2 linked regions of the Saccharomyces cerevisiae S288C genome follow. Changing the gene in region 2 together with the main gene of any one other region gives a genetic interaction. Each region holds a gene or a part of one and is shown on either strand. Other genes may lie near its edges.

Region 1 (3,536 bases), on a different chromosome or scaffold from region 2:
GACTATGTCTCGAACTACACTAATGAATACCTGTCCTGGCCAGAACCAGAAGAGGTTTCTGATCCTTTGGAAGCCCAAAGATTGATGGCTATTCATCAAGAAAAATGCAGACAGGAAGGTACTTTCAAGAGATTGGCTCTTCCAGCTTAAACGCACTTCGTCACTCCTCGAGCGTAGCCTTCCTCTACGACTTGTTTATGATTTCCCATTAGGTTTTTTTTCCTCCCTGATATTTAGATATTTACTATTAAGATATTATTTATGAGCCTTTTATTACAGCTTCTTTTCCCTTGTAATTATCGTACTTGCCTCCAAGTATCGAAAGTCTTGTGTTGCCTCGATTTACCACTTCAAATGCTGTAACCTGCACAATTTACGCCTGAATTAGGTGAGGGATAAAGACTGTTTTTAGGTGCGGCTTATTCAAAAGTATAAAAGTAGATAGCGTGGAATATATAAGGACATATTTCTTACACAAACGCACCAAAAAAGAAATCTGATTAATCGAAGGAAATCTGCGCAGACATTGCCGTGAGAAGTGAAGCCTTCTTGGTAACAGCCGGATCATCACCGATAAAATTAGTAGGAAAACCAACATCAAAAGGAATAATACTTTCTAAGTATTCTATCTGTTCTGGTGTCAGTTTGATACTTAAAGCCTCAATGTTCTGTTTGAGGTGTTCAATTTTCCTTCCACCAACCAATGGGAAAACATTTTTCGCCTTAGAGCGAACATAGGCAATAGCAATAGCAGTAACAGACTCAGTGCCATGTTCCTCAGCAACCTTGGCCAATGCTTCACTGATCTTAACCTCTTTATCCGTCTGTTTAGAAGTACCCGAAACAGTACGCAGACCCTCTCCATTCTTCTTCCGTTCCTCCATTGCTTTTTTACTCTGAAATCTTCCACCTCCCATAACATCCCATGGGGCTAGAGCCATACCAAAATGTCTGGCCATTGGAATGATATCGCGCTCAAAGTCCCTGTTCAACACATTCCATTTACCTTGATAGATACTAAAAGGAGTTTTCCCATGAGATGTGGCGTAGTAGTTTGCCGCAGAAACAACCCAAGCAGGTGTATCAGACACACCCAAATAGAGGACTTTGCCCTGCTGAACTAAAATATGCAAACTATCCATAACTTCTTCGATTGAACTCATATAATCCCACCAGTGAACGTAAAGTATATCAATCCAATCAGTTTGCAATTTGCGGAGAGAATCCCTCACACTCACATGTAAACTATGCTTGTGATTACCACAATAGTTGGCACTTTTACCGCCACCTACTTCATACTTCTTATAATCTCCGGTAAACTTGGTGGCAATTACAATTTGGTCACGCAACTTTCTTGATTTCATCCATTCACCTATCCAAATCTCTGACTCTTCATTTTGGTAACTGTTTGCAGTATCAATGCAATTACCTCCTGCTTCATAAAAAGCATCAAGAAGTTCAAAAGCCTGTTCCTTATTCATAGAGCCCATAAAGCCTGACCATGCATCGCCGATTGAAGCTCCTCCCAGAATTAGCGGTGAAACTCTTATGCCGGCAGTTTTAGAAAGAACCCTGAGACGTCCCAACTCGGTAGGTGGTTCAGGTAGAGGTTTAAATAATTCACTAATATTATTGAATAATATTTTGTAGCTATAGGAAGTGTATTCTAGTGAAATACAAAGCCGCTCAGTCAATTCGTCAGCTGGCCGATGAAAGGAAGAACTGCAACTGTCCTTGATCTGGAAATATTGTCATGACTTTTATATGGTTCAAAAATCTGCCCCCAATTTGTTCGAGGATATTTAGTGCAACTTAGTTGGGTCTTGGAACGAGGTCTGCTTACTAATTTTATGTTGACGGTTGAAAGCGGATTTTAAAACGTATGAATTTAGAAGAGAGCCAATCAAATAGGGGTACGCTTAATATTAAAAAAATATTAGTAATTGTTTGTATGACGAATAAAATTTGTAAGCACCTGATCCAATCCTTATTATTGAGCAAGAGACGTCTTGTTTCTGTACTCTTTGATAACTATCAAGGCGACATGAAACTAAGGTCATCTCCATCTGCCATTCCTCTAGTTCCGTCAACGAAAATTCTTCAAGCTATGGAGGCCCGGAACGACATTGTTGACAGTCTGATCATCAATAGTCACGCAACGGAAAGTGATCGCCGGACTTTAGGAGACCATGAGGTTAGACAATGTGAGGATACCAACTTCGGCTTCAAAATTTGATACAGGTTAATTTTGAAGGCAACATTTAGGTTCGGCCTTATTTAAAAAAACCTTCAGGTACGCGTTCAAGATCCCATTTTAAAGGTATAGGCAGATTGCACTATTTTACCGGCAAATGTGCGAATATCGAAACTGGAAGATGTTTTCAAGAAAATTGATTTAAGATCCATTTGTCGTGTTTAGAGTTCTCATTGTTCTGGTCAATGATTTCAAACTCAAAAGGCACAAGAAACTTACAAAATTTGTTTCTTATGAACATTACGCCATGTTCTTTGCGAGCATGTGCTATACAGTCTTGCTAGAAAATGGCCCTATAATTAGAAAGCTCAAAAAATAACCCAATGCTGCATCGATTTTTGGAGAAAGGGGGTCAATCATCATCTATCTTCATAAATAACGAGTTGCAGAAAAATTGGAAACTGGTTGATTTTGAAAAGTTTTCATTTTTCTGGCAACAAATTATAGCTACAAAAAAAGAAGTTATGGCGCATAAGATGCATCAATATATGGTGTGACCAGATTGGACGTAACTAGTACTCATGTTATTATTCATATCCTTCATTTTTCCTTCTTTTCTTCTCCTTCTCGAACAGTAACTTCAGATTGAAAGACGTGAGGATGCTTTAGAATGCACATTAAAATTAATATACTACTGGCCTCTTGTGTTTGTCATTGGCTTCTATTTTCAATAAAACATCCAGACAACCCTGCTGTTAATTTTGGAAAAAAAATTTCGCCGATTCTAATCATGTGACTCCTTTTCCCCAGGCAATACCGGAGAAAGCGTTCTATCTCAAACTATATAATTTGCGCTGCTCGTCTCCAAGCCCATGCTAGTGTTTACTTTCGGTTGTAAAAGGTAACTAGAAGTTTTAACGCAAGCATTGTATTATATTTTCCCACAATTGCTCTTAAGGACCTTTTTTTTTCTTGCGTGATCCTGCACTATTGAAAAGTCTTTATCAAAAATAGATGAAACTTTTTCAGGGTTCAACATTTAGAGGCTTTTCTCATATTCTTTACTCAGTTGCCTGCGAAGACCCTTCTGCCCGCTGCGCATTTTCTTAGAAAATCAAAAAAATTGCCTTTTCATCTTTTACCTTCCGAGTTGAATATGTTGACTATTTGCAAACAGGCGTATGATTGTCGTATATAACAGGGCACTTTCGGCAGTGAATCAATAGGAGGCGTATAAGAAAAGCCAATTAGTACCTATATATATATATATATATATATATATATATATATATTCCTTTATTATAATTCCTATCAGCGATTTTTGCATCACACCCAAGAAAAA
Region 2 (4,051 bases):
GATACTTTATACTAATAATTGACATTTTCTATCGTCAGTTTGGAATGAGTGTATTTATTTATTCGTATCGTGGTTATGGTAACTCAGAAGGTTCACCCAGCGAAAAGGGTTTGAAATTGGACGCTGATTGTGTCATATCGCATTTGTCAACGGATTCTTTCCATTCAAAGAGAAAACTAGTATTGTATGGTAGATCTCTAGGTGGTGCTAATGCTCTTTACATTGCTTCAAAATTTCGGGATCTATGCGATGGCGTTATACTGGAGAATACATTTTTGAGTATTCGAAAAGTTATCCCATATATTTTCCCCCTTTTGAAACGCTTTACGCTTTTATGTCACGAAATCTGGAATTCAGAAGGCCTTATGGGAAGCTGTAGTTCAGAGACGCCATTCTTGTTTTTAAGTGGATTAAAAGATGAAATCGTTCCACCCTTCCACATGAGGAAACTGTACGAAACATGTCCTAGTTCGAACAAAAAGATTTTCGAATTTCCACTTGGTTCACACAATGATACTATTATTCAAGATGGGTACTGGGATATAATAAGAGATTTTCTAATAGAGAAGGGTTTTATCTAAAAGTAATAATCAAAATATTTGATAGATTTATTTACTTTACTGTATGTAAAGAAAATGTGGTCAGTCCTCACGGCCACTTAGTTACTGATGGTTATTTATTATGGAAAAAAAAACTGCACTTTGCTACTTCTTCTATTTATATTATGTAATATCTACTCCGGTTCAAATATTTTATTGATCTCTTGCTCATTCTTTTTCCTCGTTTCAGGAACTAGTATCCAACTGAATATTATCAACGCTAATAGGCAAGCAGCAAATATGTATCCTAGTTTGAAATCAATTTTGGATACAATCATTGGTGTTAAAAGTGATATTAAGAAATTGAACATCCAATTGATAAATGTGCAAATAGCCATTGATATGGCCCTCGTTCTTAGAGGGAACAATTCGGACACTAGTACAAATGTAACTGGGCCCAATGTTATTGCAAACCAAAAAATAAAACAACAAGTCACGATAATTAAAACAATATTTGAGAAGTCCGTTTCTCTTCCAAATGTCCCCACAGTAGCATATGTCATCATATAAAATAATAAATTTGTTGAACCATATAATAAACATGTCTTGTGGCCCCATTTCTCCACGTAATATATGCCTAATATCGTAGAAAGGAAGTTAACACTTGACAGTATGATTGAAGTAATATAAGGATCCTTAATCCCGACACCTTTGAAAACAGACGTTCCGTAATAAAAGAAATAATTTATTCCGGACAGCTGTTGAAATGCCATTATCATCATACCAATAATCAGTCTCAACCATAACTTTGGCTTTCCCATAATAAATTCAAATGTGTTTCTTTTAACTAAGCTTTGCTTTTTTGATTCGTTGTTAGTTTCCTCATTATTATAGTTATTTTCCAGCAAATCATCGATGAATTCAATTACCATGCTATCCGTCGCAGGGATGCCATTCATCCTCGCAAAAGAGTATTTAGCAGAGGGCACATCATTTTTGATTTTTGCCAAGTACTGTGGAGATTCAGGAACGTAAACAAGTGACATTCCAATTATAATTGCCCAAATGTATCCCAAGAACAATGGCAATTGCCAGGCTATATTTTGTGTAGGATCTTTATAACATCTTTCGCATATGAAATTTAAAATGTTTCCCATTAGTATGCCAAATGTTACAATCAATTGATACGTAGATACCATGGAGCCTCTGATTTTTAGTGGAGAATTCTCGGAGAGAAACATTGGCACCAAGACAGTGGTTACTCCCACACCGATTCCCGTTACGGCTCTTCCCAATGTCAAAAAATACCACCTTCCATAGGAGAGAATTTGAATGGTTATACCGATGCAGTACACTACTAAGGCAAACCATATACCACCTTTCCTACCAATCCAATCACCGATTTTTGACAGAGTTAAAGCCCCTACGCCACAACTGATGTTAAAAATACTGATAATTAGGCCTATTTGCAGATCAGTAAGTTTCTTAGTAGATACAAAAATTGTTTCATCGTCATGGATAATATTAGTTGTGCCAAATTTTTCTTGAAAGCTAACCATATTTGTCATTCCACCGATGGTTCCAATGTCCCATCCAAAAATAAAGCCACCAAGCGAGATTACCAAGCACAATAAAACGGGAATATGCAGACTCGCATTGTGACTAATCTTTGCTGCTTGGCCTTCTATATTTTCTTCTTTATCATCTAGATACTTAATGGTTACATTATAATCCCTTCCCCTGCCTGCATCAAGCTCATTATTGTGAAAATGAGAGATGTATCCCGAGCTATGTTGATACGGAATCTGAGCAGTCATTTCTAGCAATAATTGAAGTACTTTACTTCCTAAGAATACGTTAACAAATTCTTTGTTAGTATTTCTAATTAAAAGTGGTTAATTGTTCTGTTAAACAGTATTCAATGTTGCTATTTGAATTTGTGTCATCATTAGAATTACTGACATTTTTATTTTCTATTTTTTTTTCTATTTTTTTTCCTCTTCTTTTGAGGGCCGACGTATCGATTTGTCAAGGGAAGTATAATTAAAGAAAGCACTGATATACAGGTTGCTGGGTAGATATTAAGAAGCTCAACATAGACACGTTATGGACGGGCATAATCAGAACCAGTACCAGAATCAGAATCAAATTCAGCAGTCACAACAACCACCTCTGAAGAAATATGTGACACAGAGACGATCGGTAGACGTGAGTTCTCCGTATATTAACCTATATTACAACAGACGACATGGATTACCGAACCTAGTGGTAGAGCCAGAAACTTCATACACAATAGATATAATGCCGCCTAATGCCTACAGAGGTCGAGATCGAGTCATAAATTTGCCCAGCAAATTTACGCATTTAAGCTCGAATAAAGTGAAACATGTGATACCCGCCATCCAATGGACCCCAGAAGGCAGAAGACTTGTAGTAGCAACTTATAGCGGAGAATTTTCTCTATGGAACGCATCTTCGTTTACGTTTGAAACCCTCATGCAAGCACATGATTCGGCTGTGACTACAATGAAATATTCTCACGACAGTGATTGGATGATTAGTGGGGACGCAGATGGAATGATTAAGATATGGCAACCAAACTTTAGTATGGTTAAAGAAATTGATGCTGCACACACGGAAAGTATTAGGGATATGGCATTCAGTAGTAACGACTCGAAATTTGTTACCTGTTCAGATGATAATATCTTGAAGATTTGGAACTTCAGCAATGGCAAACAAGAAAGAGTATTATCGGGGCACCACTGGGACGTGAAAAGTTGTGATTGGCATCCCGAGATGGGGTTAATTGCCTCCGCATCTAAGGACAATTTAGTAAAACTGTGGGATCCGCGTTCCGGAAACTGCATATCATCAATTCTGAAGTTCAAACATACTGTCTTGAAGACGCGATTTCAACCCACCAAGGGAAATCTATTAATGGCGATTTCAAAAGATAAATCGTGTCGTGTGTTCGACATTAGATACAGTATGAAGGAACTAATGTGTGTAAGAGATGAAACGGATTATATGACACTAGAATGGCACCCAATAAATGAATCTATGTTCACTCTGGCGTGCTATGACGGCTCGCTAAAGCATTTTGATCTTTTACAAAATCTAAACGAACCTATTTTGACTATTCCATACGCCCATGATAAGTGTATCACCTCGTTATCATATAATCCAGTAGGACATATATTTGCCACAGCAGCTAAGGATAGAACCATAAGATTTTGGACTAGAGCGAGGCCAATTGATCCTAATGCATATGATGATCCAACTTATAACAATAAGAAGATAAATGGATGGTTTTTTGGCATCAATAACGACATCAATGCTGTGAGAGAGAAGAGTGAATTCGGTGCGGCCCCGCCACCACCAGCTACACTTGAACCACATGCGTTACCAAACATGAATGGATTCATCAACAAGAAACCGCGTCAAGAAATCCCAGGCATCGATTCAAACATCAAGAGTTCCACATTGCCAGGTTTAAGCATATAAAAGTGCGC

What was found.
Region 1: mutations in HXT14 (region 2) and AAD4 together harm fitness more than expected from each alone (negative genetic interaction), as found in Saccharomyces cerevisiae (one large-scale study listed by BioGRID).

The regions. Positions count from the first base shown.
Region 1 is NC_001136.10:17,077-20,612, forward strand, and holds AAD4 (putative aryl-alcohol dehydrogenase), read right to left. Parts: upstream 1,491-3,536; coding exon 501-1,490; downstream 1-500. Other genes in the region: THI13 (4-amino-5-hydroxymethyl-2-methylpyrimidine phosphate synthase), read left to right, coding at 1-150; YDL242W (uncharacterized protein), read left to right, coding at 1,883-2,236.
Region 2 is NC_001146.8:37,974-42,024, forward strand, and holds HXT14 (Hxt14p), read right to left. Parts: upstream 2,357-4,051; coding exon 734-2,356; downstream 1-733. Other genes in the region: YNL320W (uncharacterized protein), read left to right, coding at 1-581; cleavage polyadenylation factor subunit PFS2, read left to right, coding at 2,646-4,043. UniProt on the Saccharomyces cerevisiae protein: Probable glucose transporter.